Linked DNA regions of Callithrix jacchus. The protein of the gene in region 1 purifies or fractionates together with the protein of each later gene. This does not show direct contact. Links are inferred from orthologs where the notes say so. Each region holds a gene or a part of one and is shown on either strand. Other genes may lie near its edges. The genes, in order: SLC37A3 and ATRAID.

The links.
Region 2: the proteins of SLC37A3 (region 1) and ATRAID purify together in Homo sapiens (affinity purification with mass spectrometry; 3 studies listed by BioGRID and IntAct, counting the BioPlex papers as one, with this or other methods). This does not show direct contact. The link is inferred for Callithrix jacchus from reciprocal best matches to the Homo sapiens genes SLC37A3 and ATRAID.

The regions. Positions count from the first base shown.
Region 1 is NC_133512.1:107,009,979-107,025,353, forward strand, and holds the end of SLC37A3 (sugar phosphate exchanger 3), read left to right. Parts: intron 1-7,773; coding exon 7,774-7,913; intron 7,914-10,820; coding exon 10,821-10,923; 3' UTR 10,924-12,306; downstream 12,307-15,375. UniProt on the Homo sapiens protein: Unlike the other SLC37 members, lacks glucose-6-phosphate antiporter activity.
Region 2 is NC_133515.1:87,797,711-87,813,708, reverse strand, and holds ATRAID (all-trans retinoic acid-induced differentiation factor), read left to right. Parts: upstream 1-8,231; 5' UTR 8,232-8,275; coding exon 8,276-8,374; intron 8,375-9,056; coding exon 9,057-9,178; intron 9,179-10,749; coding exon 10,750-10,821; intron 10,822-10,902; coding exon 10,903-10,974; intron 10,975-11,060; coding exon 11,061-11,182; intron 11,183-11,477; coding exon 11,478-11,575; intron 11,576-11,794; coding exon 11,795-11,899; 3' UTR 11,900-12,106; downstream 12,107-15,998. Other genes in the region: SLC5A6 (sodium-dependent multivitamin transporter), read right to left, coding at 232-361, 554-694, 1,115-1,269, 1,772-1,839, 2,193-2,244, 2,578-2,643, 2,950-3,342; multifunctional protein CAD, read left to right, coding at 12,508-12,589, 12,821-12,960, 15,762-15,891. UniProt on the Homo sapiens protein: Promotes osteoblast cell differentiation and terminal mineralization. Plays a role in inducing the cell cycle arrest via inhibiting CCND1 expression in all-trans-retinoic acid (ATRA) signal pathway.

The DNA.
Region 1 (15,375 bases):
CCTAGGCTGGAGTGCAATGGTGTGATCTCTGCTCACTGCAACCTCTGCCTCCCGGGTTCAAACAATTCTCTTGCCTCAGCTTCCCGAGTACCTGGGATTACGGGCATGTGCCACCACACCCAGCTAATTTTATATTTTTAGTAGAGACAAGGTTTCTCCATGTTAGTCAGGCTAGTCTCGAACTCCCGACCTCAGGTCATCTGCCCACCTCAGCCTCCGAAAGTGCTGGGACTAGAGGCATGAGCCACCATGCCTGGCAGGAGATAGTCTTGAAAAAGAGGGATCATGTGCAGAGATGGGAAGGTAGGTGTATTTTGCGAGCCACAGATAGTTCTGTGAGGGCACAGTATGGGATGCCTACAAGTGAGTGGCTTGAGGTGATCCCAGAGAGTGAGCAGAGCCACCTCACCAAGGCCCTTGCTAGCTTCTGAAGGTGTTGTGAGAACTGGATTTGTGTGTTGGAACCCTTGGTGGTAGAGGAGATGGAATGGTAATGAGTAAGACCAGGAACAGAGAGCCTTGGAGATAGGAAGCTATTGGCTAAGAAGGGAACAACTGAGGACCTAAAGTAAGGCTCTAAAGTAGGGCTGGAAGAAGGGAATTGAGTCAAGAAGGATTAGGAGGTAGGTGTGTTGCAAATGACTGAGAGGTGGGGGACATGATTTGTGGAGAATGACTCTTGGATTTCCGATATGGAGTTTGGGCTGTTGGATGAAGTAGGAGACGGAGATTTAGTTTTCTCATCTATAAAATGGAAAAAATACTTTGCAGGTAACATAGGCACATCCCTTAGCACAAGCATATGGTTGTGAGTCAGTCCATACTGGTTCTTTCTGCTTTCTCACTTTGTTTGTTTCCTCCATTCTCTCAGTGCAGGTCTTTGTTTGGTTAGTTCCATCTTTGGGATGCTTTTCTTTGCTGTGTCCCATGCTTCCCACTATAACTGCCACGTGGGTGATTCCCAGATCCCTCTCTCCAGCCCTGATCACGCTTGGATGCATTTTCGACTGTGTTCTGGCCATCTCCACGGCCTCTCACCGTCATGAGCGAGAACCGCTCCCAAATCTCTTTTTCCTCTTGAGGTCCATATGCCTGTTAATGGCACTGTCATCTTCTCAGTCAATTTGGCTACAAATCATTTTCTCTAGTTGAGAAAACACATCCACCTCTAGTGGTTTTGAGTGTTTCAGAGTCGTTTTGATGTCTTTCTCTTCCTCTTTCATTTCTTCACATTTGGTGAATATTTGACCTGTTTAATCACCTCCGTAACATTGTATACACCAGTTTCTTTTTCTCATTGTTACTTCTCTCGTCAGGTCTTTCCTAGTTCCCATCCGAACTATGACACTGGTTCCCTATCTCTGGTTTCCCTTCCTTTCAAGCCATCTTGCCACAACTGCCAGACCGAGCTTCTGGAAGCTCTGATTGGATCACCCCTGTCGCCTTGTGGGTTCTCCACACCCACTGGATCAAGCCCAAGCTCCTAAGCCTGTCATTTAAGGCACTGCATGTCTAAACCCCATGTACCACTCTGATTTTATCTCCCCACATTCTTGCAGAAAGATGGGGCAGTTCTCTGTACCTTCAGTATCATGTCTGTGTCTTCCCCGGAGGAGACTGTGCTTATTCTCTAAGGCACAGTCGCGAATCTGGCCTAACTTTCACCAAACCAGGTAATTCTTTCTCATATTACATAGGACTCAGTCCTTTTTTTTTAATTTTGTTGACACAGAGTCTTGCTCTATTGCCCAGGCTGGAGTGCAATGGCATGATCTCGGCTCACTGCAACTCTGCCTCCCAGGTTCAAGCAATTCTCCTGCCTCAGCCTCCACAGTAGCGGGGACTGCAGGCACACGCCACCATGCCTGGCTAATTTTTGTATTTTTAGTAGAGACAGGGTTTCACTGTGTTGGCCAGGCTAGTCTTGAACTCCTGACCTCAAGTGTTCTTCCTGCCTCGGCCTCCCAAAGGGCAGGGATTACAGGTGAGCCACCTTGTCTGGCCAGTGCTTATTTAAAATGATCTGTGTAGACATCCTATCTCTCCTACCACATTTAACCTCCTTGAGGTGCCTCCATTTCTGTAACCATCACAATGCCTTCTTCATAGTCAGTATATGTTTGTGGATGGAACGTATTACACTCTTCATCTTCCTAAGGCATAGAGGCATGACCTTTGCTTTTCCAAATGCCCATTCCCAAGGGTCTGTGACACAAGACAATGAGAAGGTGGAGGACATCTGACTTTCCCCTGTGGAGCCTCTTGCAGTTTAATACACAGCAGCGTGAGGATGTTACACAGGCAGGTTCTTATTTAAATTCCTGGTAACTGAGCCCAGCAGCACGTGGTGGGTTTGATTTAGTCTGTACAGCACTTAACTCTTTCTATGGATGAAAGTGGATGAAAGTTCATGGACTGAATGGGAACTAGATAGATTGAGAAATTAACTCATGTTTTGTGCAGTTATACAGAGCTCTAGGCACCAGTCTGATTTTTCCTTATAGAATCTAGAACTTTTTTTTTTTTTTGAGATGGAGTTTTGTTCTTTTGCCCAGTCTGGAGTGAAGTCGTGCGATCTCAGCTCACTGCAACCTCCACTCCCCGGGTTTAAGCAATTCTCCTGCCTCAGCCTCCCAAGTAGCTGAGATTATAGGTGCCTGCCATCACACCCAGCTAATTTTGTATTTTTAGTAGAGACAGGGTTTCACCATGTTGGCCAGGCTGGTCTCAAACTCCTGACCTCAGGTGATCCACCTGCCTCGGCCTCCCAAAGTGCTGAGATTACAGGTGTGAGCCACTGCGCCTGGCCAGAATCTAGAACTTAACTGACATACTTCTTGGGTACTTTCAGACATGTAGCCAAACACGAAGTCAGGTGATTTATTTGGTAAATTCCATAAGCTCTGTCCTGCCCTGGAATGGCTTCTCAGCTAGGCTGGGAAGGAGGTGGCTCTCGGTTCCGGTTTCCAATCAGTGACTTCCAAGAACTGGTTAAGAAGCAGGAAGAATAGAAAGAGTTAGATGTTTCTATGTTGGGCTAAAAAAACCCACTCAGATACCCGGTTTCTACAATGCATGTGTCCTGGCAGCCAGACAAGGAAGGAGAGAAACTGTGAAGGGTGCCAGGGTGCCAACAAGAGCACCCGCATTCTTGGCAGAGCTCAGAATAGCGTTCACAGCTCTCAGTGATTCATCATCTGCAGGCCTGCCCACCCATGATCCGAGTGACTGAGGATGGGGTGAGTCAGGCGGCTCCCTCTCCCCATCACCCTTCTTCTCTGGCTCACTTCTGTGTCCTCCTTGGGCCCTATGGGCTGCCGAGCAGAGGGGAGGCTGATGTGGTGGTGGGCACTGCCAGTGAGGAAAGGGTTCCTGCTCTGGGTCTGTGCCAGGGTGAAGCCTTCGTGGTTTCTTGAAGGACTTCCGGCTCCCCTCTGCATTCAGCCCTAGGCACATTTGGAGAAGAGGGGACTCTTCACTGCTAGCTCTAGGGACCCATCTGAAGGTGGGGCCTGCTTAGCCCCTGGGAGCTACTCAGTGCTTCTTTGTTGATGTAGATGCCACCCCTCATCATCATATCTGCCCCTCTTAAATCTAATCTGCATTCTCTTCTCTTTCTTCCCACTCTTTTCTGTTTATTCTTTTCTTTCTTCCCTTGCTCAGCAAGAGTGATATTTATTTAAGACATCATGGCTGTTAAATGTTTGCCTCTGGAGATAATTTTTCAGCCAGGTGCCCCTCTGCCTGTTGGCTGGTCCACAGTGATGGCTGGCCATGATGGGAGGGGATGGCCTGCTACCCTCAACACTGAACTCCCTAACGTGGGTCCAGGCCCAGGGCTCATCACAGCTACCCGCTTTGACCTGCAACAGAATCATGAGTTGAAAAACCATCCTAGTGCCATAATAGGCTCAAACAGGGATCACTCTTCATCTGGTCAACCAGAGCCAGGCCACAGGCTGCATGGCTTCTCTCAGTGAGGCTCTCATTCTCTGATCAGTGCGTGGCTCTTGCTGGGTGTCCCACTTTACTTCTATAGCAAAAAAGCCATTTTACCTCTGTTGCCACTTTCACAAAACATTCTCTTGTATCCACTCAAGTGAAAGCTGTGAAGTGTCCTCGTTCCTCCCTCACAGAGAGAGCTCCTAGCCTTGCAGCCCTGCGTGTGTCTGTCACTTACCAGCAGCATGCCAGGACACTGCAGACATCCAGGTTCGGAGACTCGTCTAGGAAGCCATGCCCTGTGTGGGTGAGGACAGGAGAGTGCTGCCTCCAAGTGTTCCTGTTTTCCCTTCCCCGTGGCCGCCAGGCACAGATGCTGCGGGGAGAATGCAGCTTTAGCAACAAAACATCCAAATATACTTATTTCCAAAAAGAGCAATGCAAGATGAAGAACAGAGCGCTGTGTGGATGATGTCCTGTGTGAGGACAGAACACAGGAGGAGGTTGAGTGGAAATAAGGTTTCACTTCTTGTCCAGGAGTCAAAACTTAGTAAACACGACCAGGTCTCCAGATCACAGTGAATTCCAAATCCCAGTGGACGACCCACTTATTTCAAACATGTTTGTAACATTATAAAGCACAAGGGATGGGTGAAATGCACAACCCTGGGACAATTTGGGGCACTTAGATGTGAAATGTTTGGAAATTGCTTTCATTTTTCTCATCAGAGCCATCCCGCGGAATGGGTAGTAAAGAGACTTAGCCCCATTGAGAGGCGAGGACACTGAGGCACAGTGAGATGGACATTCGCATCGATTCCAAAGAGCACAGACTTGGTTAGCACAACTGGGCTTAGCCCCTTGATCTGTGTGTGATTTCTGTCACACTGCCCTTTTTTCACTAAACCTCTTTCACGTGAGAGATGAAAACAACACATCACCAATAGGACCCGTGCTCTGGGCTGTTGAATTAAAGTCGGAATGAAGTTTACTGAATTTACATGCCCTCCCCTAGCACTCTGTATATCCCATTTGGAATTTGTGCAAGTCCTAGGAGCAGGCTCCCTCTCTGCAATTGCTCAGGACTGAACTCCGCTGGTGCTACCCACACCTTCCCAGACCCATTCCTGCCAGCATCTGCTGCACTTCCCCTTGACCATGTCACTTCCCATCAGACTGTCTCTTCTTCTCACATCTCCCTGACTATGGGTTGGGAAAAGGGAATGCTAGGCCCTGGGTTCCCTGAATGTCCTGCCCTTCATGCCACATAGTATGGAGTGCCTACCACATGTTAGGTTCTTTGCTAGACCTGAAGATACAAAGAGAAGGCACAGCTGGGACCACACCACCCTGGATGTGCCTGGCTTCAGAAGCCAGGCGGAGTTGGGCCTGATTAGTACTTGGATGGGAAGAGGCATAGGTCCTGCCCCTGAGGACCTGGAGTTTAGTGCTGGAAACAAATTAGATTCCATCACCCTCATTCAGCACCCCCTCTTCTCTTCTCTTCTAAGTCCTGAACTGTGATTCTTTTTTTTTTTTTTTTTTTTTGAGATGGAGTTTCACTCTTGTTGCCCAGGCTGGAGTGCAATGGTGCAATCTTGGCACTGCAACCTCTGCCTCCCAGGTTCAAGCAATTCTCCTGCCTCAGCCTTCCGAGTAGCTGGGATTACAGGCATGCACCCCCATGTCCAGCTAATTTTTATATTTTTAGTAGAGACAGGGTTTTTCTATGTTGATCAGGCTGGTCTCGAACTCCTGACCTCAGGTGATTCGTCTCAGCCTCCCAAAGCGCTGGGATTACAGGCGTGAGCCACCATGCCTGGCCCCTGAACTGTGATTCAGTTCAGTAAACCTCTTTGATGTAAGAGGTTTACGTGAAAACCTCTCATTGTCTCTTCCATCTGCCATCTTCTGGGAAGCACTCCCTCGTCCAGCGAGTTGAGCACTGGCTGATAGATACATTCCCACCCTCTTCACTGCCATCTCTGCATCAAGGAATTGCTCAGCCATGTTCAGTTCTTAGTGAAGGTGCCTCCCTTTGCAGGGCAGTGATGCTTACTGGACTTTAATCATAAGAGGCTGTGCCTCCTCCAACCTTCCTGCTCAAAATCCCTCAAAATCTCCATCTCTCATCCTCCAGTCACTCTGAGGCTACCTTCTCCCCATGGCTGGCCATTTCAAAGATGTGCCTTATGTTAATAATAATGTATTGTATATTTTAGAAATGCTAAGAGAATACATCAGGTGCGGTGGCTCACACCTGTCATCTCAGCACTTTGGGAGGCCGAGGTGGGTGGATCACTTGAGGTCAGGAGTTCAAGACCAGTCTGACCAACATGGTGAAATCCTGTCTGTACTAAAAATACAAAAATTGGCTGGGTGTGGTGGCGGGCACCTGTAATCCCAGCTACTTGGGAGGCTGAGGCAGGAGAATCACTTGACCCCAGGAGGTGGAGGTTGTAGTGAGCCCATATACCATTGCACTCCAGCCTGCGCGACAGAGGAAGACTGTCTCCAAAACAGTATTGGAGGTGATGGAAATGTTAATGGGATTGATGTAATCATTCCACAACATGTATATATCTCTCAGAACATTACATTATACCCATAAATAACTGTCAGTTTAAAGAAGGATATTTTGGGGGGAATTTTAATAAACAAAAACCCCACAAGAATGTGCCTTGTCTGATGGAGACTCCCTTTCCTGTATTTTCTTACACTGCTCCCAGGCCTGCTTGGCCATCGCTGCCCATGCTGCATGCCTTTTCCACTCTCCCTTTAGCGTGTGAGGCAGGGCAACCAGGTCACATGTGGGGCTGCTCTGGGCCTGTGCGCTCCAGCCTCAGCTAGGCCCTGTGACATTCAGCAGCCACTGAATTCTTCCTCTGTGACATGCCACTGTTGAGCCGTCAGAGTCGCTCCTGGTCCTCTCTTTCAAAGCAGATGACTTCCTTTACTATCTTTTTGGGCGAGTGTGGAGCCATCTTCCTTCCTCACCCTAGAGACTCTGCTCTTTTCTCTCTCTCACCCTCCCCTCACTTCTGTCTGCATCATCCTCACCTTGCCGGGCCTCTGCACTCTGTTCCCTCAGTCCCTTCTGCTCAGTGATCCCTCTGCATCCTCTCCCCTCTTCAGTCCCTCCAGAGTTTCTCTCTGTTTTCCAGGCTGGAGTGCAATGGCACCATCTCAGCTCACTGCAACCTCTACCTCCCAGGTTCAAGCAATTCCTCTGCCTCAGCCTCCCGAGTAACTGGGATTACAGGCATGTGCCACCTTGTCAGGCTAATTTTTGTATTTTTTGTAGAGATAGGGTTTCGCCATGTTGGCCAGGCTGGTCTCGAACTCCTGACCTCAATTGATTTACCTGCCTTGGCTACCTAAAGTGTTGGGATTACAGGCATGAGCCACTTCACCTGGCCCCTGCCATTTATTTCTGCTGCCTCAAGCTCCTCTAATCTAAAAGACAAAAGCCACACATCCAAAGGAAACCCCAAACCTTCCCCCTCACTCCAGCCCTCTCCCTTCATCATTGTGGCCACCACTATAGCCTCATTTGGACCCTCCCTTTGTGGCCTTCAGCTTCTGGCTGTCATCCATCCTGGCCCCTCCACTAGCCTTCCAGGGGGTCCCTGTCTCCTCTCAGATGCTCATCATTCTCAGGAACAGCTTTGAGAACGTCACTTGTTCTGCTCAAAATGAAGTGGGAAGTCCTCAATTTGGCTTGGTCTCCTCATCCCAGTCCCCTCCTCTCCTTCCAGCTGCTTCTCTAATTGAACTCTGCTCCTGTCAAACTGGCTCTGTCCTTACATATACCCTATGTTCTTCCCCCAGACCTCTGCCCGGGCAGGGAGTATCCTTGCCTTCTCATCTGAACTTCAGTGCGCAGCTCACGTGCCAGTGCCTTCACGAATCCTTCAGCGATCCCCACAGCCAGGTGCGATGCATGCCATCTCCTCTCCAAATTTCTCCAGGTATGCTTTTGGAAGCCCCTGAAAGCATGTGGCTGTATTACTACTGTCAGGTCTATTTCTAGCTTTAATCTCCTCAAGGATTGGAAATATGTGTTTTTAATTTTATCTACCTCCCCGGCCCCACTCCACTGTCTAGCATATAGCTGTGCATTACCGCTGGTCCGTGAGTCTGAAGGGGCTTAGTGGAGATGGTGCTGGCTGTCACCACTGGGCACAAAGGCCCAGACTGCTGGCCCACAGCTCACAGAGCCACTCCTGGTATGTTTTGTCTAGCCACTCTAGAGGTTTTGGGTTTTGTTTTTTCAGTAGTAAGATATATACAACATTTAGTTTTCGTTGTTGTTCGGTTTTTTTGAGATGGAGTCTCGCTTTATCACCCAGGCTGGAGTGCAGTGGCATGATCTCAGCTCACTGCAACCCCCACCTCCTGGGTTCAAGTGATTCTCCTGCCTCAGCCTCCTGAGTAGCTGGGATTACAGGTGCATAACACTACACCACCTAATTTTTGTGTTTTTAGTAAAGACGGGGTTTTGCCATGTTGGCCAGGCTGGCCCCAAACTCCTGACCCCAAGTGATCCTCCCTCCTCGGCCTCCCCAAGTGCTGGGATTACAGGCGTGAGACACTGGGCCTGGCTGTTAGATATATATAACATTTTAACCATTATTAAGTATACAACGCAGTGGCATTAGTTATATTTCAAATGTTGTGCAAACATCACCGCTGTCTATTTCCAAAACATTTTCATCACCCCAAGAAGAAACTGTGCCATTAAGCAAGAACTCCTAGGCAACTCCACCCTCTCCCTGCCCCACCCCGTGCTAATCTCTTATCTAATTTCTATCTGTATGAATTTGCCTATTCTAGGTATTTCCATAAGTACAATCATATAAGTACAATCCATAAGTACGGTCCTTTTGTGGCTGGCTTATTTTGCTTAGCATAAGATTTTTCAAGGTTCGCCCATGTTGTAGCATGTGTTGGAACTAATTTTTTTTCGAATTGCTGAGTATTGTATTGCATGGATATATCACATATTATTTATAAGTTATTCTAGACACTTGGATTGTTTCCACTTTGGGTTGTAGTGAACATTGGCCTACAAATATTTCTTTGAGTCCCTGTTTTCGATTTTCTGGGGAATATACCCAGAAGTGGAATTGCTGTATTGTATGGTAATTTTATGTTTAGCTCTTCGAGCAACCCACTGTAGAGTTTTAAAAATTCAAATTAATTAACCACTTTCAAAAATGAGGAATTTCACACAAAAATTAGATTTTTTTCAATTTCTTTTTTTTTGAGGTGGAGTCTTTCTCTGTAGCCCAGGCTGGAGTGCAGTGCAGTGGCAGTGGCATGATCTCAGCTAACTGCAATCGCTGCCTCCCGGGTTTAAGTGATTCTACTGCTTCAGCCTCCTGAGTAGCTGGGACTACAGGTGCCTACTGCCACACCTGGCTAATTTTTGTATCTTTTGTAGAGACAGGGTTTCACCATGTTGGCCAGGTTGGTCTGGAACTCCTGACCTCAGGTGATCAGCCCACCTCAGCCTCCTAAAGTGCTGGGATTATTGTCATGAGCCACTGTACCTGGCTGAGATTTTTTTTCAACTTCTCTTGACACTCCTGGGTTCACCTACAATGATATGATCTGCTGGGGATGAGTGGGAACTGCCGCCTCTAGATGGGGCATCTGGTATCCAGCTCGACAAGGGCCTTACCCAGCCGGCATCAGACATTGGTTCCTGCCTGGGCCCCGCTCCGAGCCTTTGCCTCAATCTCCTTCTTTCATGAGGTCTTCCAGTCCCTTCACACAATCACTCCTTCCCTATTATGTTCATACGCGCTCATTATTTGTTTACATCCCAGACCTCTCTCCATCTCGACTGTGATAGTCTGAGGGCAGGGCACTTGTCTTTTCATCTCTGATTTACCCAGGATCAACAGACGCGTTGTTGGTGCTCAAAGTCTTTGTCAAATTGAAGTTTTAAATTGGATAGCTGAAAGCCAGGCATCATGGTTCATGACTGCAATCCTAGAGACTCAGGAGACTGAGGCAGGAGGATCTCTGGAGGCCAGGAATTCAAGGCTACAGTGAGCTAAGTTTGCACCACTGCACTCCAGCCTGTGTGACTGAGTGAGACTTCAACTCTAAATACATAGATAAATAGATAGATAGATAGATAAATAGGTAGATAGGAATGGGATAGAATAGAATACTGAAGGTTAGGGCAGGACTAATTGGTACAGATACCATTGACTGAATCAAGCAAGTACTAAATTGCATTGTAAAATATAAGAAAAGGGGAAAAAACTAAAATTGGGGAAATGAGTTATAGATTACAGGCAATGAAAGAAGGGCTAACCACTTCCTCATATGGAATATTTCTTCATTTAGGGTTTTTCTTTTAATCACTCTTGGTGTAGTCTCATCAAAGACGTGTAAAAAGTGATTTGTCGAATTGTGCGTTATGTGCCTGTAGTGCCAGCTGCTCTGAAGTTTGAGGCCAGAGGATAACTTGAGCCCAGGAATTTGAGTCCAGCCTGGGCAACATAGTGTGACCCCTGTCTCTAAATAAACAAATTAATTTTAAAAAGGTAGTTTATGGAAAACAGGTACAATATCATAGAACAAATTAAAAAAATAGGATCAAAATGTAATATCTATATACAAATGCAAAAGAATGAGTTTGGATCCCTACCTTACACCATATATTAAAAATTACTCAGAGTGGATCATACATCTAAATGTAAGAGCTAAAACTAAAAATCCCTTTGAAGAAAATGTAAGACTAAATCTTTGTGATAGTGAGTCAGGCAGTGGTTTTTTGGATCCCCACCAAAAGCACAAGCAACAAAAGAAAAAACAGATAAACTAGACTTCATTTAATTGAAGACTTTTGTGTTTCACAGGGCACCAGCAAGAAAGAAAAAAACAGCTCATAGATGGGAGAAAATATTTGCAAATCACATATCCAATCAGGGACTCCTGTCTAGACTATTTAAAGATCTTTAACAACTCAACAACGACAAAAAAGACATGACCCAGTTGAAAAACAGGCAAAGGATCTGAAGACACATTTTTCCAAAGAAGGTTTAGAAATGGTCAGTCAGCACATGAAAAAGCTCAACATCGTTAGTCATTAGGGAAATGCAAACAAAAACCACAATGAGGTGTCACTTTACCCCCACCAGGATGGCTATAATAAAAGAGGTGGAGGATAAGAAGTGCAGTGAATGTATGGAGAAATTGGAGTCCTCACACATTGCTGGTAGGATAGTAAAGTGGTATAACCACTGTGGAAAACAGGTTGATGGCTCCCGAAAAAGTTAAACATGGCTGGGCATGGGAGTTTACACCTGCAATCCCAGTACTTTGGGTGGTGGAGGTTGCAGTGAGCTGAGCTTGCTCCACTGCACTCAGTGGAGCAACAGAGTGAGACTGGGCAACAGTCAGTCTGGGCAACAGTCAGTCTGGGCAACAGAGTGAGACTCGGTCTCAAAAAAAAAAAAAAAAGTTAAACATAGAGTTACCAGGTATGGCATGGTGGCTCACACCTGTAGTCCCAGTAGTCCCAGTACTTTGGGAGGCCAAGGTGGGCAGATTGCTTGAGTCCAGGCATTTGAGACTAAGCCTGAGCAACATGGCAAAATCCTGTCTCTACAAAAAAATACAAAAGTTAGCCAGGCACGTTAGTGTACACCTATGATCCCAGCTACATGGGAGGCTGAGGCAGGAGGATCATTTGAGCCCAGGAGGTCAGGGCTACAGTGAGCCCTGTTCATACCACTGCACTCCAGCCTGGACAACAAAGTAAGACCCTGTCTCAACAAAACAAAAACCCAAGACATAGAGTTATCATATGTTCAAAACACTTCTACTCTTAGGCATATATGCAAGAGAAATGAAAACGTATGTCCACACGAACACTAATACGTGAGTGTTCATTGTAGGATTATTCCTAATAGCCAAATGGCCGAAACAACCCAAATGTCCATGAACTGATAAGTGGATAAATAATATGTGGCATATCCATGCACTAAAATATTACTTAGTTATGAAAAGGATTAAAGTGCTGATACGTACTACAGCCTACACCCACCTTGCAACATTTTGCCAAGTGCGAAAAAAGCCAGTTATAAACGACTACATATTGTATGATTCCTTTTGTATGAAATGTTCTAAATAAGCAAATCTATTGAGACAGAAAGCAGATTCGTGGTTGTCTGAGGCTGGGGTGTGGGGGAGGAGGGAAATAAGGAGTGACTGATGATGGATACAGGGTTTCTTTTGGGGGTGATGAAAATGTTCTAAAATTAGATTGTGGTGATTCTTGCACAACTGTGTGAATATGTTTAAAACCACTAAATAAAAAATTGTAAAAAAGAGAAAACAAAACAAGCAGATAAAAATCACTGAACTGTAAAAGAACAGAAAGAGGACCAGAGAGAAAATGCTACTCATTCCTTTTACATAAATAATAAAATACACAATCCTCAGAGGTGACTGAAAAATGCGCCTGAAGTCATTTACACTAAAGCTTTACAGATGACCTGGCATGGTGTGTTGTTTGCTTTAAAATGCTCCACATACCACCCCGTGCAAAGTGACCTTGGCTGGGGGCGAGATGAAATACAATAGGCAAAACTCTTCATAAAAGCTGGCGATGGGCACATGGGTATTCATGGCGCCGCTCTATTTTTGTGAATGTTAAAGTTTTTGTCCATAATAAAAGTTTAAAAAAGAGAGAGAATGAAAGCATCTGTAATCTGCAGTTCAGCAGTTACGCATCAAATACGATCTGTAGGTGTGCGTGCCTTTGGGGAGCTGTGTGTGGGGGTCTGTGGCTGTTGACAGACACACCTTGGTTTCTGTGAACCTGCATTTCTATGGATGAAGGCAGGGAGGGATTCCTGGAAGGGGGTGACAAAGCCATCTGGGGATGTGTGACTTTGCTAGGGCTATGTAAAAATGACCACAACCTGGGGAGCTGAAAACAACAGCAATTTCTTTGTCTTTCTTTCTTTCTTTTTTTTTTGGAGACCATCTTGCTCTGTTGCTCAGACTGGACTGCAGTGGCATGATCTCAGTTCACTGCAACCTCTGCCTCCTGGGTTCAAGTGATTTTCCTCCCTCAGCCTCCTGAGTAGCTGGGATTACAGGTGTGTGCCACCATGCCTGGCTAATCTTTTTGTATTTTTAGTAGAGACGGGGTTTCACTGTGTTGGCCAGACTGGTCTTGAACTCCTGACCTCAGGTGATCTACCGCCTCAGCCTCCCAAAATACTGGGATTATAGATATGAGCCACTGCGGCCAACCAACAATAGTGATTTCTTCTCTCATATTCTGGAAGCCAGAAGTCTTCAGTCAAGGTGTCTGTCGGGCCAGTCTCCCTCTGAAGGCTGCGGGGTGGGGATATCCTTCCTTGCCACTTCCAGCTTCTGGTGTCATTGACAGTCCTGGGTGTCTGTTGCTTGTAGACTCACCACTGCAATCTCTGCCTCATTACAGGACATTCTCCCTGGATCTCTTCACATATTCTTCCCCCTGTGTGTGTCTGTCTCTGTCTCTGCTTCCTGATCTGATAAGGACCCCCATCATATTGGAGCAGGGCCCACTCTAATTAAGTATGACCTCGTTTGAACTTGATTATATCTGCAAAGATCCTATTTCCAAATAAGGTCACAGTTACAGGTAGTGGGGGTTAGGATGTCAATATTTCTTGTTGGGGGACACACTTTTAACCTACGAAAGAGCAGAAGGCAGGATAAGCAGAGATAGATTCTTGGAGTGTAAATCCAGAGAGATGAAGCCCCAGCTGCCCCCTAGGCAGGCTGCAGAGCACAAATTTACAGTGATTAGACTTGACCTTAACGCATCATTCGCTGGCCAACTTTATTTTTTCCAAACGGAGACAAGCCTTTTCTGGGACCCATTTCCCACTCAGCAGTTTGGACTGAGGAGTGACACATCTAGACCCTTCCATTCAATCAACTCTTTTCACCAGAAAGCTTTTGGGGATAATTCTAATGCGTATTCACTTAAGAAATGTTTCAGAAAAAGCTAGTTTCTTACTCTTTGACACAGACATGCACATTTAGAGTTTATCTTCTGAGCTGGCTGCTAAAGTTGTTTTAGACTCTACAGTTAAATTGACCCAGAAATAATTCCTCGTTTGAAATTCCCTTTGCAATGTTTCTCACTCTGACTCTGACTCCAGGTTACATTGTGCTGTTTTTGCTCTTTAATCTCACACTGGCCTTTGACCAAAGGCAATAAAATCTGACTTCTGTATTAAATGGTACTTGAAATATATATAATGTTATTTGAGTAATCCGGATGTCTGATAATTGCAAATGTATTTTCATATGATTGTTTGAAGAGTTTCATGGGAAAAATGCAAGCTGCTCATACTTCCTGAACCGTGTGAGCTGTTTACTGCTGAGAACTTTCCAGAGGAGGTTGGAGGGAGCAGAAAGCTGAAGAGAAGGGCTGGATTTGGGCTTTGTTTGCCTGGACTCTCTCCACAGTTATCGTCAACCTACATTTCAGCTCCAATCCATAGGAGTCATTTGCAACTCATCTGTTTTCATCTCTTTGCTCCCAGGAGTGTGGAAAAGACAGGAGCAGAGAGGAGCTGAAGTTTTGCAGAGGATAGGGAGGAGGTTGGCTTGACCCAAGTGGAGAGAGGAGGTGGGGGTTGAGAGCAGCTGGAGAGAGCTTTGGCTGCTGGTGTGGGTAGCTGGGATTTTTATTATTTATTTATTTATTTTTGAGACAGAGTCTTGTTCTGTCACCCAGGCTGGAGTGCAATGGCGTGATCTCGGCTCACTGCAATCTCCGCCTCCCAGGTTCAAGCAATTCTCCTGCCTCAGCCTCCTGAGTAGCTGGGATTACAGGGCACCCACCACCATGCTTGGCTAATTCTTGTATTTTTAGTAGAGACAGGGTTTCACCATGTTGGCCAGGATGGTCTCACTCTCCTGACCTCATGATCCACCCACCTCGGCCTCCCAAAATGCTGGGATTAGAGGCATCAGCCACTGCGCCTGGCCAGGGATTTTTCTTTTTTTCTTTTGAGATGGAGTTTTGCTCTTGTCACCCAGGCTGGAGTGCAGTGGCATGATCTCAGCTCACTGCAACCTCTGCCTCCTAGGTTCAAGCGATTCTCCTGCCTCAGCCTCCTGAGCGGCTGGGATTACAGGCGCCTGCCACCATGCCCAGCTAATAATTTGTATTTTTAGTAGAGACAGGGTTTCACCATGTTGGCCAGGTGAGTCTCAAACTCCTAGCCTCAAGTAATGCACCCGCCTCAGCTTCCTAAAGTACTAGGATTACAGGCATGAGTCGCCGCCTCTGGTCAAAAGCTGGCATTTGAACCATTGTCAGTTCCTGAACAGAGATTTAAGAGATTGATGAGCACTGGATGAAATCTTAATCCTCTGTCATCACTGGTACTTATGTAG
Region 2 (15,998 bases), on another chromosome or scaffold:
AGTGAAACTCCGTCTCAAAAAAAAAAAGAATGAGCACTGTGGTTAGTGATGCTAGAGGCTGGGATCCTCACAAGCTAGACTGCTAGCATCTCGGAGTGGGAAAGGACTTTACAACCATCTCCCACCCAGGGTGGGAGTCCTTTCTGCAAGTCAGTCCGCCCTTTCCTACCTAGACGCTCCTATTGGTGGGGCCAAGACTGCCCTCACGGGAACAGGAGAGGGCCTTCTCACCTGGTCTGGGGCTGCCTGAGCCTGCTGAATGCTCATGGGATTCTCCTGGTAATACGCGAACATGACCAGGCCAATAAGGCAGCCCATGCAGAGGGCCACCTGCTGGCAAGGGAACACTGCGTAACAGGAGCTGCAAAAGAGGTCAGTGCCAAGAGGAGAGCCTATATTAACAGGCACCCTCAGGCATGTGCCCCTGACCTCCAGAAAGGAGACCCACCGCAGTGGATGTGTAAGCACTCTGGCATCCTGCCCCACCCCAATTATCTGTAGGGAAGCCCTTCCCCTAGACCTTGCTCCACTCTCTTCCTCGCCCTGAACTCACAGCACAGCAGCCTTCTCCGTGCGGGAACTGAGGTACCGCTGCACCTGAGCTTGGTTCACCCCATACAAGGAGAGCATCATGAAGACACCCCCGAAGGCCAAGGTCCAGAAGGTGTGCCGCACAAAGGGGTCTGGATCCAGCCTGTAACAGACACCACCCAGTCATTGTGCAAAGCCCCAGAGACACAGCTTTCCTGCCCTCTTGGCAACAGGAGTCAGTGGAGAGGAAAGAAGAGATACCACTGCTAGGGCCAAGGGGAGTGACTGAAGGCAAGGAGCTGTGTGCACTCAAGAGACAGCACAGCCAGTTAGAGGGAGGCTCCACTCTTCCACCACAGCCTCATTCCAGGTACTCATCCCAGGTAACGTCCTGACCCTCCATAAACACTAGCTGGGCACCGTAATCACCCTCCATTTCTGCTGGGCCAGTTTCCCGCTGTCTGCTGCTATACCTCAGGCTTCCCAATTTGCCCTCTACTTACTAGAGCCCTAAGACCAGCCTCTAAGATGGGCTCAGCACCCAGGCACTACAAACCCCAGCCAGGGATAGGGGTATACTTACTCAATCCCAGAGATGCGGCCGTGCTCAGAAGCCACAGCCCACACATGCCCCAAGCCGCCCACCTTGGCCGACCCCACAATGATAACTGCCAGCTGCCCGAGGAACATGACCAGTGTCTGGAACACATCTGTCCAGATGACAGCCTTCAGCCCACCCTGCAAGGAAAGCACAGCAAACCTACCACAGAGGCCTTCCAAACAATAAATAACCTGCCTTATTTTGTTGTTTTGTTTTAGACTTTTTACAGCCTGAAGCCAGTTTTTATTTTCTGTCTCTAGTGATAAGTATAAAAGAGAAATGAGGATGGGGCTTTACTAACCCAACCAGAAACGGAAACTAAAAACCCATGACTATATTCTCTCTCTTGGGACACTCCCGTAACCATCCACCCTAAGGACATACTACCAATGAGGGGACTCTCCTCCGTTAGGCATAATTGCTGTGATTCTATTGACATCATTCCCATCCCATCCTCTACCTTCATATGCCATACCCACTGCTAAATCCTATTATAAATCTTACCTCATCCCACCCTAGAATTTCACCTATATTCTCCTCACCTATATTCTCAGCTTATCTCTTCTCTTCCTTCTCTTCCCATCTCCCCTCTTTACTTCATCCCTTCTCCTCCCCCTCACCAGGACTTACTGCACTTACCAGAGAAGTATAGATGGTACAGACAATGCCTAGGGTCAGCACTGACAGCCACAGATCAAAGCCAGTCACTGTAAGCACACAAGCCACATGAGCTTAGAAGCCCTGGTAGGGCAATCATGTCATGCCACAGAGATAAAGCACTTGGTGATTAACAATGGAATTAATCATTCACCACAATGGGAAAAAAAAGTTTGCAGAGCTCCACCAAAAGGTATTGCTTAACCAGTTCAGATGAGGCCTGGTAACAGGTCACTAGCTTTCAAGTGAGGTGGACTAAGCCTCCCTCTGGTAGAGACCCATCCAAGGGCCTAAGCAGTAAATTAATTCCCTGTCCAAGGTCAGGTTCTTTTCCACACACTCTTCTCCATCTGCCCCTCCCAAAGGTGCCTTCCAAGCCTCCCATGGCTGTGTGACTCCTCACCTGCATTAAGAGCCAGGGACGGAGCATAGAGCACAACCCCCATGTAGATTACCTGTTGGTTGTGGAAAAAATGTGAGGGGGGCGAGGGGGAGGGTGGGAAGAGAGAGGAAGAAAGATGGGCCTCAACGCCAATATGCCCATGGCTTTCTCTCACCTAGGCTCCCTTCCCTCTTCTTCCTCCTTCCAAATTCTGGCTTGCTGCCACTATAGTATCTGTGCTGGAATTAGAAGGAATAGGCCTCCGGGGGCTTTACAGATGCTGACCTCTAGCAGGAATTTCAATCCTGCCAGTCTGAGACAAGGGGAGACTCGAATTCCCTCAGCACACTTGAGTTCAGGTCCCCCAACATGCCCCAGGCTTGGTTTCCATGCTCATTCTACTTACCATCTGAAAGATGAAGGTCATAGTTCCACATACTCGCACAGTTTTACTGAATCGAAGCTCCAGGTACTGGGTATGTAGAAAAAAGGTTTTCCTCCTGACTTCACCCCCACAACTCACACAAAACTTCCCTCAAGATGCTCAGGAGCACGAGGGAATATCCAACCCATGCCCTCTCTGAGTCCTACTTGGCATGCACCCTCTACAACCTTGCTCCCACTCCTGAAATCGAAGAACTAAAAATACATAATGAATTTTCTGTCATTTCATTAGGTAGAGAAGGTCCAGAGTCCCAGGTCCTTCAGATGTGTCTGTCCATCCTCTCCACCCCAACCCCAGTGGTCCCATGTGCTTCTCCCTTCCGTCCCTGCTCACCTCATATGCACTGGTGAGGTGCAGGCGGTAGAAAATGGGGATGAAGATGTGTGCAGGTATCAGCAGCCCCAGGAAGTAGCAGCAGCCCAGGAACCAATACTGGGTTCCAAATCGGTAGATCTCAGACGGCACACCCAGGATGGCCACGGCTGACTGGAAGGTGGCCAGCAGGGACAGTGCCACTGGAAGGCAGCCCATTTTGCGGTTCGCCATCAGCAGCTCGCCGACAGTATGCCGGCCCCAGCCACGAAAAGCATGGTAGAGCCCAATGGCAAGAGAGAGAACCAGCAGCAGGATGAACACTACATAGTCCACAAGGGAGAAGGTGGACGTACCCATGCTTGTGTCTGAGGTTGGGGAAAGAGGGGCTGAGGTGCTCACCCCTACACTCATATCCTCACTGTATCTGTGGTCTGCAGCCAGCTGATGCTCCAGGGCTCTGGGCTAGGGCAGGGGCGGATGGGTGGCTACAACCTGGCTCCCAGCCAAGGTCTCACAGTCTTCCTCCACGGAATGACACTGTCCAGGGTGAGCTGCAAAGGAATTAGCTCTTAGTGAGGCCTATCTTGGTAGCCATTCACCCTTGGGCCTTGTATATCCCACGCCCACCAGAAGTGGACCAGCCAGCATAGTGGTAGCCCTTCAGGGTATGGAGGCCCTGATACGGGTTTGGTAGGAGCGGTAAGTGAGGGGGAAGCAGCAGACTGAGACAGCCAAGAGACAATAGAACTTGGCCAGGACCTTTGGGTATGCAAGAGCTGTGAAATTCAAGGAACTTCTTAGGTCTCCATCCAAGAAGCAAAAGAAAAATAAACTCTAGGCTAAGTTTCTTTGAAGAATTTCCTGGCCCCACTTGAAGGCACAGACCCAGTCACTACAATACACTAAGCCAGCAGAGCCAGCCTGGCGCCACAGCCCAGCAGGAAAGACAACATGGAGACTAATGGCAGCAGGGCTTTTCCTATTGCCCCTGGCCTCAGCCCTTGCCACCCATGATCTCCAGTGTCACCCTCCTAACTGATCATCAGTAAGACTGCCTCTGTGGCAGCCCCAGGCCAACCACTAGGTTTTCCCCAACATCACTAAATAAGCGCTGCCACCCACCTCTCAACCCCTCTACTTGCCACACCATAGCCAACAGCAGACGCAGGAAAAGTGGTTGGATTCAAAAATGAGAAGGGAAAGGTGAGAGGGCACCACGTTAGAGTCAGGGTTTCAGAGTTATGATTCTCCATTCTGGAGAGAAGCAACCCAGCCAAGGAGCTGAGAGGCAAAGGCACCAGCCAGTGAGAGTGGTCACATCCTGCTGGGGGCAGATACCTACCTGGAGAAGCAATCCTTGTCCTGAGGCACAGTTGCCTGGAGTTGCAGAGCTGAAGATCTGGCTCTATGAGAGGCTGTGGTGAGATCAGGAATTGGGGGTGGGGTGGCACTCAGCAGTCATTTGTTCAGGTAACCAATTGCTGTGCTCCAAATGACCCTGTCACCCTATGGCCCCCAAACTCCAACTCAGCCCTAGAGGCTCCAGAAGAGGTAAAAGGGAGCTCACATTCAACAGCATTCCTAGATGGATTAGGCTTTCAGCCTAAAGTACTCTTGGCACTCTGTGCAGGAGGGAGTTGGAAAGCAGGAACTGAATAGACAGGAAAGTTGAAAGTTGATTTTTTAACTCCTACACAAGATATGTTAATCCTCCAAGAATATACCACAATCCTCAGAGAAAGAAGGAAGGGATCATAATATTTAAAATCTTAAATCTTTGGATACCACTATTATAACAAACCCCCCACCACTGACCATTTCACAGATAAACACACTAAGGTTCAGATGGTTCAAGTGACCTTTCCAAAACCACAGAGCCTACTATTGTCAGAGGGTAAATTAGAACCCAGGTCTAGGGATTCACCATCCACCCTGTCTGTTCTCCATGCATATCCTATTGTCTTCAGAGGCAATCCTCTGGCGTATTTACTGGTATGGGGAAAAAACAGAGAATGCCATGTAGTCAGACAGCCTAACATGACGACAGTTAACACTCCTTGAACACCTGCTATGTAACCCAGCAGTGTGTGAGGTGCTTTATAAACATTTGCAATAATAAATAACGCAGTAATAACTTTGAAAACACCATGTCTCAGGTTGAGACATGAATACCCTCCAGACAAGAAAACGGACAGATTAAATAACTTGCTCAAGGTTACGCAGCATGATACAAAACAAGAGAGAAAGAAGCAGTACTGTCTGCAGCTATGACAGGTGCTCACCAAGGGCCCTGTTCTCACTACTTCCAGAACCAGGGGAGGAGCGGAGTGAGGTAATCAGTCATTCACAGGACATAGTTTAGATTTCAACCAACCAAGAGTCAGATTAAACGTGTCTTCTGCTTTTGCCCACTAGGAGAAAGATTAGGCTGACTTCTGGCTCTCCCACAGTGTGTTCTTGGGCAGACACTGGCTGGCTAGCAAGCTATGGCCTCATGGAGACTAAACCTGAACTCTGAACTTCTTGGGGCCAAAAAAGAGAGGAAATCAGAGCTGGCAACTCTTGGATCACATGTTCTACAAGGTTCCCAACAGGCTGTTTTTTGTTTTTTGTTTTTTTTTGCGATGGAGTTTTGCTCTTGTTGCCCAAACTGGAGTGTAAAAGCAATGGTGCAGATCTTGGTTCACTGCAACCTCCGCTTCCCGGGTTCAAGAGATTCTCCTGCCTCAGCCTCCCAAGTAGGTGGGATTATAGACATGTGCCACCACACCCAGCTAATTTTTTTTTTAGTATAAACAGGGTTTCACCATGTGAGCCAGGCTGGTCTCTTGACCTCAGGTGATCCACCCCTCTCAACCTCCCAAAGTGTTGGGATTACAGGCAAGAACTACCATGTCCAGCTTGGGCTTAAACTCTGGTTTATCCAAAAGATGTCCTGGGGCTTTGCACATTGCGACACCCTGAGTTTTCCCATTTGTCCTTGGCAAGTTTTTACTGCTATGATAGAGATGATGGGAACTACTGGGGAGTAAGAGGAAAGATGATGTCTGCTGTGTGCAAAGAACATACAACACTACAGGGTTGATGGTATAGATAGGCAGGTGGTCAGAGATAGGAAACTCCCAATGTGGGACACAGACCTTCAAGATACTCTGCTGATAGGACTTCCTGATAAAACTCTATTTGCATGATGTGTGGAGAATTCTCCCGGATGCCACAAGAGAGAGCCAAGGAAGACAGAAAAAACCTGACTCAGTAACAGACTAGATTCTGAGAACAGATCTGTGGTTTTCTAAAAACCCTATATTGATCCAAACCCTTACATGTCTCCAGGAAGGGAGGGCCAAAAGGAAGACCTATCTCTTGTTTCACCAGAACTATAACACACTAAGGCACAAACAGCAGATTGTGGGACCCCTTTTAAAAACTCTAGGCCGGGCGCGGTGGCTCAAGCCTGTAAGCCCAGCACTTTGGGAGGCCGAGACCGGTGGATCACGAGGTCAAGAAATCGAGACCATCCTGGTCAACATGGTGAAACCCCGTCTCTACTAAAAATACAAAAAATTCGCTGGGCATGGTGGCACATGCCTGTAATCCCAGCTACTTAGGAGGCTGAGGCAGGAGAATTGCCTGAACCCAGGAGGCGGAGGTTGTGGTGAGCCAAGATCGCGCCATTGCACTCCAGCCTGGGTAACAAGAGCGAAACTCTGTCTCAAAAAAAAAAAACAACAAACAAACAAAAAAAACCTCTAACTCATTTTGTTCACACACTGCAGTAGATGGAATTGTCTCTTACAAAAAAAGGCAAAGGGTCTCACTGTCCTCTGCAGGACTGTTCCAAAAAGATCCCCTCAAAATCTGTCCTGGGGCTATAATTCCTCAAGGTGTGAAAGGCTTTGGGGGCCCTCCTTAAAATGCTAATAGCAGCCTGGCTAGGTGGTTCACACCTGTAATCCCAGCACTTTGGGAGGCTGAGGCAGGCGGATCATGAGGTCAGGAGATGGAGACCATCCTGGCCAACATGGTGAAACCCCATCTCTAATAAAACACAAAAAATTAGCTGGTGTGGTGGCATGCGCCCATAGTCCCAGCTACTCTGGAGGCTAAGGCAGGGGAATTGCTTGAACCCGGGAGGTGGAGGTTGCAGTGAGCCAAGATTGCACCACTCTGTCTCAAATAAAAAAAAAAAATGCTAATAGCTACTAACACCTTAGAAAATTTGCCAACCAGCTAAACGTAAATCTTTCAGGAATGTCCAGGCAGACACCGGAGGGTAATGTGGAAGGGAAGCCTGGGTCGGCAACTAGAGATGATCGCTTGGGTCGGCTTTAAGGAGCTTTGTGGTTGGCTTGAACCAAGACAGTCACTCCGGGAGCAGGGCTTCCCCCTGGCACCCTTCCGCACTCCCTTACCTCCGTGGTTCAGCCAGGGCTAGGAAGGTCCGCCTGTGCTTCCAGAAATCAACATCGCTCCCTTTGCCTGAGAAGGCAAAGAAAATGAGTTAGGGAAGCGTCTATCCCGTTCCTACCTCCTCGCCAGGCTCCAGGACGCTGCGCGCTATCACGACTGAGGTGAAGGTGACTAGGTGCCCAGGGCGTTCCAGGCTCGTGTCCTCCCGCTAGAGTTTGCGGTTTGCCCTTTCCTGCTCCATCACCCTCACCCTCGTTCTTTCCTGGCTTCCAGATTCCCTCCACGCGGCGACCACGACCACGTTACTACCGCTCGCATTTCAGATCTTCTCAGCCCGGGGCTGGCTCGCTCCGCCCCTCCCCGCCCCCTGCCCCCGCCCCCCGCCCCCGCCCCCGCCCCCGCTCTTACGCCGCTCCCCGGGGCCTCTCGGTGCTGACTCACGCTCTCCAAGCCCACCTGCCTGTTCTCCACACGTGGGTAGCCAGAGCCCGTCCGCGGCGCGCAGACCAGGAGACCGTGGGGGGCCCCGCCCTCGCCCTCCGCCCGCCTTCCGCCAGCCCAGCTCGCCGTGCCGCCATGTTTACTGAGGGCGGATGGACGGGCCCGAGTCTCCGTGGAGACGCGACCTCGACATCCAGGCGCGGGGAACGCTGGGCTGAAGAAGCCTGCAGTAGGCTCTAGGAAGCGGCGCGGCGACGGCGGAGGCCTTCACTAAAGGGGAAAAGGAAGAGGTGGTCGGCCAGTGTCCCCGAAAGAAGGCTGGGGCTCCTAAAGACCAAAGCTGAGCTCCCCGAGCAGGAGCAGCCCCCACCCAGCCCCAGGGCTACTAAACCCGGCCGTTTAGGCCACGCCCGGCGAAGGGGGCCTGACGCGCCGTGGGGCGGGGCTGCGGGGGTCGGGTCGCGCTAGCGGTGGAGAACCAAGGGAGCGGAAAATGGCGCCTCGCGGCCGGGGTACTCTTACGATCCTGGTGCGCTGGGCTGCCACCCTGCTCCTTGCTCTGGGCGTGGAAAGGGCTCTGGCTCTACCCGAGGTACAGAAGCAAGTTTGAAGTCCGGCTGAAGCAGGGTCGATGGCCAGCGCTTCGCGCTCGCCCGCGGCTCCCCCTTCCCCTCTGCCGGCCTGCGGCTCTGATTTCGTCCCTGACGCTTCCCGACCCTGCCCAGCCAGGTCCTATTCCCGAGTGCTCACGTCGTGCAGGCCTTCGACGCCCCCGTCCTGCCGACTTTCAAAGACCTGTGAAACTTGATCTCTTTCCTTAATTTTAGAATAAGCTCTTTCTACAGACGGGTCCTCTGGCTCTTTGTGTAAGCTCTACGTACGAATGCCGTGTATCGTGCGGTGGTAGGGCTGCACTTTATTTTGTAATGCTTGATGAGTTCTTACATACCGCGGTCCTTTTACACCGGGACAAACTGAGGCTGTCAGATTGAGAAGTCTCTGCAGAGGGCATAATAAATATGTTCGAATAGTAATCTTCAGAAATGAGGACCTTCCCCTGGGCGATGTCTGTTACTGAAAAGTCTCTGGGGAGCTGATTGGGCACCGGACTCTAGAGGAAGAAATGGCATCTCCTAGTCTAGCCTGTTATGAGGGTAGGACACGAGCCATTTATCGGCCCCATGTTAGAGGAATTCTGGAAAGGTGTGCTGGCAGTTAATTCTTGATCCCCGTGTGTTCTTTCCGGAGTTCTAATGTTTCTTTCTCTTCTGCAGATATGCACCCAATGTCCAGGGAGTGTGCAAAATTTGTCAAAAGTGGCCCTTTATTGTAAAACTACAGGAGAGCTAATGCTACATGCCCGTTGCTGCCTGAATCAGAATGGCACCATCTTGGGGTGAGGGAGAAGACATCCCTGGATATTGGATACAGGCCATTCCTTAGGCTGGCTGCTTTTCTACCCTTATATTATTTTGAGAATCCACCTGTTATGGTTTCAGCTGTAACCATCACGCAGGTGTCTACCAAAACTAGATCTCTTTAGAGTCTTTTTGCCTTTCCACACCCCAGGTACATATGGGTACCTCTTGCTCTTCCTGTTAAACATTTCCTACTAAGTGCATCCTAACTTCAAACTAAAAATGTTGTGTTTTGCTTCCATTCTCTTCTTCCTTAATCTACCTAAATACTTCTCTATATTAAGCTTTCAGAAAACCAACATTTTCCATTATCGCTCTCTTGCTTTAATACTATATTTAGGTAACTGTTTGTTGCTCTCAGGATAAAATTCAAACCACGAGCTACCATAGACTAGTCCCAACCCACTTTTCCAACATTATTTCCAATTACGTGTCCACTCAAACCTCCATAAGAGGTCTGGCACCAGATTTGCCTACCCTCAAAGGCATTCTACCTTTGTTCAGGCCTCTCTCCATACCTGAAATTGCCTTCCTCCACCAAATTAGGACATATCCATCCTTCAATTCCAACATCTTTTCTGAATATTTTCTACTATTAAATTCCAGAGTAATACTTTTTTTTGAAACTTCCTGTAATCTTTAGTGTATATTTTATACACTGTCCTGTGGTTTCTTTCATATTGTAATTTAATATATACAGTGTTTTTATTTTGGGCAGTGGTCTTGTTTCTCTAACCACATTGCAAACCACTCAAGTCTAAGATACTGTGTTATATATTTTTAACATTCTCCCAGCGTTTGCAGTTAGTAGGCACTCAGTAAATATTTGTAGAATAAAGGAATTGACAGCAGTAGATAGTGAAGAAAAAATGTGGCATGATCCTTAATATCCAGCAGTTTACAACCAATCTGTGGTAGAAAATACATGCGGAAAACATTTTATTTATGTGACTTGTGTTTTTTTTTAAAGGCCCTCTGTGGATCTGAAAATCATAATATGAGATTCACTAATATAGACAAGAAACACAGTTCTCCCAATAGATGCATAACCTATTAGAACATTGCTGGCCAATAGAACTTTCTGTGATTATGCAAATATTCCATATCTGTACTAACCAGTACAGTAGCCACTAACGTGGTTATTCCATTTGCACTTGAAATATGGCTAGTGCAAATGAGACAGTGAATTTTTAGGTTAATTTTTCTCTGTAGAGTCAGGGTCTCACTATATTGCCCAGGCTGGTCTCGAATTCCTAGGCTCAAGTGATCCTCCTGCAGTGGCCTCCCAAAGTACTGGAATTAAGGAGTGAGCCACTACATCCAGCCTAAGATTATATTAATTTAAATTTAAGTAGCTACATGTGGCAAGTGGCGACTCTATTGGATAATGTAGGATTAAAATGTCTACCACAGCACCTAGTATGTGAGTCGGAACACAGCTGTGTTCAATTACTATTAGCTGAAAAGGGGGTTGTGTAGTCAAATACAAACTGCTGTGGATGAAGAAAAAGGGGAACACACAGTTATGTTGATTACTTTGTGTCTTCAGGCTGGATCTCCAGAACTGTTCTCTGGAGGACCCTGGTCCAGACTTTCATCAGGCACATACCACTATCATCATGTAAGTAGTTAGACACCTCCCACCCAAAAGGCTAATATAGTGTAGGTTGATGGGAAAGTGCTGACAGTGTGTGCTTTGCAGAGATCTGCAAGCAAACCCTCTCAAAGGTGACTTGGCCAACACCTTCCGTGGCTTTACTCAGCTCCAGACTCTGTGAGTAAGGGTATGGGAAGAGAATCAAAGAGGGGCAATGCTGTGAGTTTAGCAACTTTGCATGTTATGACCACGTTTGTCTTTAGGATACTGCCACAAGATGTCAACTGTCCTGGAGGAATTAATGCCTGGAATACTGTCACCTCTTATATAGACAACCAGATCTGTCAAGGCCAAAAGAACCTTTGCAATAACACTGGGAACCCAGGTATGCTCTCTTACCTCCAAGCTTCTGGGAATTGTCTTTTCTTCCTTGTATTTTCCACTTTAGATCAGGAAGACAAAGTTGCTTAAATGCCTTTCATTCAGAGTTCTGGGGCTCTAACCCCTTTGAAAGAAAAGATCTTAAGGCATATGCTATTACTGTTACTGTTTTTATCTGTAATCTTTCCGCTTCCTTTATCCTAGAAATGATTGAGAGAATCTAAGTTGAAACAGATAATTGAGAAATATGCCTAATGAGATGGATGCAGTGATGTTCTCTATTTCTCTCTGGTCCCCAGAAATGTGTCCTGAGAATGGATCTTGTGTACCTAATGGTCCAGGTTTTTTGCAGTGTGTTTGTGCTGATGGTTTCCACGGATATAAGTGTATGCGCCAGGTGAGGAATAAGGCCTTCTAACTAGGGATACAAGGAATGCATAGAGCAACACCTCTCAGAAAGGAGAGTCACAGACCAGGAGCTAATACAAATTACCTCTAGGGAGAAAACTATAGAATTGTCCTAGACGAGATGATATACCTTGGGAATGAACTAGGTGTTAGGATGTCGCCCTCTGTGTAACGTTGTATGGGATATGTTTTGGTCTGTTATTCACAGGGCTCGTTCTCACTGCTTATGTTCTTCGGGATTCTGGGATCCACCACTCTATCCATCTCCATTCTGCTTTGGGGGACCCAACGCCGAAAAGCGAAGACTTCATGAACCACATAGGTCTTACATTGACCTAAGATCAATCTGATCTATCTTAGCCCATCCACGGAGCTCTGCTTCCTAGACAGGCATCTTTGGTCAGTGGATTTGCCTCAAGATTGAGGCCGCCATTGGAAGTTGAAAAATTGCACTCCCCTGGTATAGACAAGTACCAGTTCCCATTTGTGTTGTTGCCTATAATAAACACTTTTCTTTTTCTTTTTTTTCTTTCTGTCTTTCTTTTTAAGTAAAGGGGTCCTGCCTTTAGTTGTTTCTAGCTTTGGGTGGGAAAGACTACTTTAAGGCAGCCGATTTTTTTTCAGGTTTCCTCCTGGTTTTGCAGTGCGGATACCACGAGGGGTCACTCCCCTTGGCTCCTGGAGCCCCGCCCCTTACGTGCCCAGCCCCGCCCCTGACGCCACCGGTGTCCGCGCCGCCGCCGTCTCTGCCGCCTCCAAGCGCGCTAGAGGCTCTTGCGCCTGCCGCGCCCGCCTTCTCTCCAGCGCCCCGCGCCGTTAGCCACGTGGACCGATTCCGGCGCGCCATCCTCACGTGGTTCCAGTGGAGTTTGCATCCTTCCCGCTTCTCCGTACTCGCCCCCGCCTCTGAGCTCCCTTCCCATGGCGGCCCTAGTGTTGGAGGATGGGTCGGTCCTGCGGGGCCAGCCCTTTGGGGCCGCCGTGTCGACTGCCGGGGAAGTGGGTAAGCAAGTCCGGGTAGGCTGCAGACCTTATCCCACTCTGATGCGCCTCTCCGCCTCACCTTCCCTGTCCAGACCCCGCCATTTTCCCGCCAGCACACCCCGTCCCCCCCCAATTCGGTGCCCATGGGCCTCAGCGTGTCCACCTCTCGCGACCAAGGCAGCCTCCACTGGGGCGTGCTCATCGCGCTGGGAGTGCTCTGCCGGAGCCCAGCCCTGCTTCTTTCTTGCAGTGTTTCAAACCGGCATGGTCGGCTACCCCGAGGCCCTCACTGATCCCTCCTACAAAGCACAGATCTTAGTGCTCACCTATCCTCTGATCGGCAACTATGGCATCCCCCCAGATGAAATGGATGAGTTCGGTCTCTGCAAGGTAGCCACACCCAGTGCTTTCCTTTTCAAATCAGCGGTTGTTAACTGTTAGTGAAGTAGGAGACGTTGACACCCTGCTGGGCATCCTTCAGAAAACATACCCACTGAAGTAGTAAGTCAGGCACTAAGACTACTTACTACTAACTAGTTAGGCAGGGGTTGCTAAGTACCGTGGGAGGCACAGAGTGTTGAAGGCCTCAGGAGAAAGCTACAGCCTTTGTTAAGCATTCTGTATGGCATGGTTCAAGGAAAGTAAAAGAGGTAATTGTTAGGAATGCAGAAGTCATGAGAAAAAAGCCTGCAGATAAATAAGATACAGTGGGCATGGAGGGACTTGAGCCAAAGCAGAGTCAGTTTAATTTGGTAAGGGATCCATTGAAGGTTGGTTTTTTTTTGTTTGTTTGTTTTTTTAAAGTAACAATCATGTGATGGGAGCAGTGCTTTTTAGGACTACATAAATTAGTGGAAAGAGACTGGAAACTAGGGTCACACATTTCGCAGTGACAGTGAGTGCCAGTTTACCTACAAAACCAGTATCATTGATTATCATCTTCTAGACCTACTGACATTGCCCCGTCTGATTTTTTTTGCTTTTCAGTTGTGTTCTTACCTCTAGGTGAGAAAACTGAATTTCTTCCTACAGTGAGGTTTCCCCTCTTCCTTCACCTCTGAAATTTGGAAACTAAGTTGCCCTCTGACAGTTCAAGCATTTAGAAACCAACATATAGTAATTAAGGTAACAGAGAAAGTCATTCTGGCCTAGAGTAGCATTTCACAAATGTGTTTGGCCTCATTGCACACATCTAAGCCTTTAATTCTTAATTTGCCTTCCCAGTCACCCTGACACTGGGGAGAGAGCGCTCTGGATAGAAGATATACATACTGTTCGTCCTGGAAAGGAATTTATAGGTTAATCACAAACCTATAAATACACTGCATTCTAGTTGATAGTACCATTTCTTGTGAATTTGATTAACCTGTATCAGTCATCACTTTTGTCAGCTCTAGGCACACTGACAAAATTGAGTTTATAAAACTACAAATTTGAGTCCCTAATAGGGCCAAGGTGGGCAAGACCTCCTGGAGCCACTTGTGCATATAAATGGATTACTCCACCTGGCCGGGGAGGGTTCTGCCAAACTATCCTTCAGACTCCTGGACGGTCTCAGAATGCAGGTTCCTTAAACTCTTCACTGAGCTGAATGCAGTTTAAATATCCCTCCCACATAAACTTTCTGTTTCTGTGTAGCTATTAAATGCTTAGCTGTTGAGTAACAAGGTTATGTTACCTTTTTATTTTTGGAGAGGGGGCAAGGTCTCACTTTGTCATCGAGGCTGGAGTGCAGTGACATGATCATGGCTCACTGCAGCTTCCACCACCTGAGCTCAAGAAGTCCTCCCAACTCAGCCCCCCAAGGGGCTGGTACTACAGGCACATGCTACTATGTCTGGCTAATTTTTTTGTATTTTTTGTAGAGATTGGGTTTTGCCATATTGTCCAGGCTGGTATATTATCTTTTTAAAATAATAATCTCAAACGAAGTTTGGGGGTCATGCTTAGTATTGTGCCCTGAACCTTTGTTTCTTTACTTAGTAATGTATTTATTTCAGTTTTTAACCACACTCTATAATATCTTTCTTACATGAGTGTTACCTTGTTTTCTGGCTCCCTAAGTCAGAAATAAACATCATGAAGACAGGGACCTCATCTTTTCTTGCTCATTGCTCTTTTCTCAGCATCTTTTGCAATGCCTGCACCTCAATAAATGTCTGACTGACACCATTTGTCTTGCTCTTGAGTTCTCTGTTTCGTGACAAAGACACAAATACATATTCATGATACAGTGTAAATAGCAAGAGAGGAAATGAAGTGTTAGGAGAGCTCTAAGATGGAGGCACAAGCTGCATTGGGTGAGTGGGAGAGGCTTCACAGAGAAGGGATTTGTTATTTCAGTTTTAGATAAAGGAAGAAACAGGCGGAACACGGTTGCTCATGACTTGTAATCCCAGCACTTTGGGAGGTTAAGGTGGGAGGATCACTTGAGCCCAGGAGTTGGAGAGCAGCCTGGCAACATGGTGAGACCCTGTCACTACAAAAAATTTTAAAAAGTAGCCAGGTGGGATGGTCCACACCTATAGTCCCAACTACTCAGGAGGCTGAGATGGGAGCATCACTTGAGCCCAAGAGTTTGAGGCTGTAGTGAACTGTATGTTCGTGCTGCTGTACTCTGCACTCCAGCCTGGGCAGCCAGACCCTGTCTCCAAAAAAAAAAAAAATGGCCGGGCGCGGGGGCTCATGCCTATAATCCCAGCACTTTGGGAGGCTGTGGTGGACAGATCATGAAGTCAGAAGATCGAGACCATCCTGGCTACCATGCTGAAACCCGGTCTCTACTAAAAATACAAGAAGCCAGGCATGGTGACACATGCTGATAGTCCTAGCTACTCAGGAGGCTAAGGCAGGAGAATCGCTGGAACCCGGGAAGTAGAGGTTGCAGTGAGCTGAGATCGTGCCACTGTACTCCAGCCTGGGTGACAGAGTGAGACTCTCAAATAAAGTAATTACTTAAAGGAAAATGTCATTTTCAGTGATGAACTGGGCACCCTAAGCCTGTGGGTTGTTTTTTATATAGGGGAGAGCATTGTCAGTAAAGGGAAATATCTATGCAAAAGCACCAAATGCTTGGTATATTGAAGACCATTCAGTGTGGTTGAATATAGGGTTAATGGCCACACAATGGGGATAATACTCTAAAGAAATAATTTGGCCTGAAGCTCCTCTCAATCTCTTTCCATCCACAGTGGTTTGAATCCTCGGGCATCCACGTGGCAGGACTGGTGGTGGGAGAATGCTGTCCTACTCCCAGCCACTGGAATGCCACCCGCACCCTACATGAGTGGCTGCAACAGCATGGCATCCCTGGCTTGCAAGGTATGATGGCAAGCACAGGCATATTTGGGCAGAGCATGGCATGCCTGGATGGAAAGAAGGTTTCTGTAAGTCTGCTGGGACCTGACTCTGAGATTGTGATAGTTGAA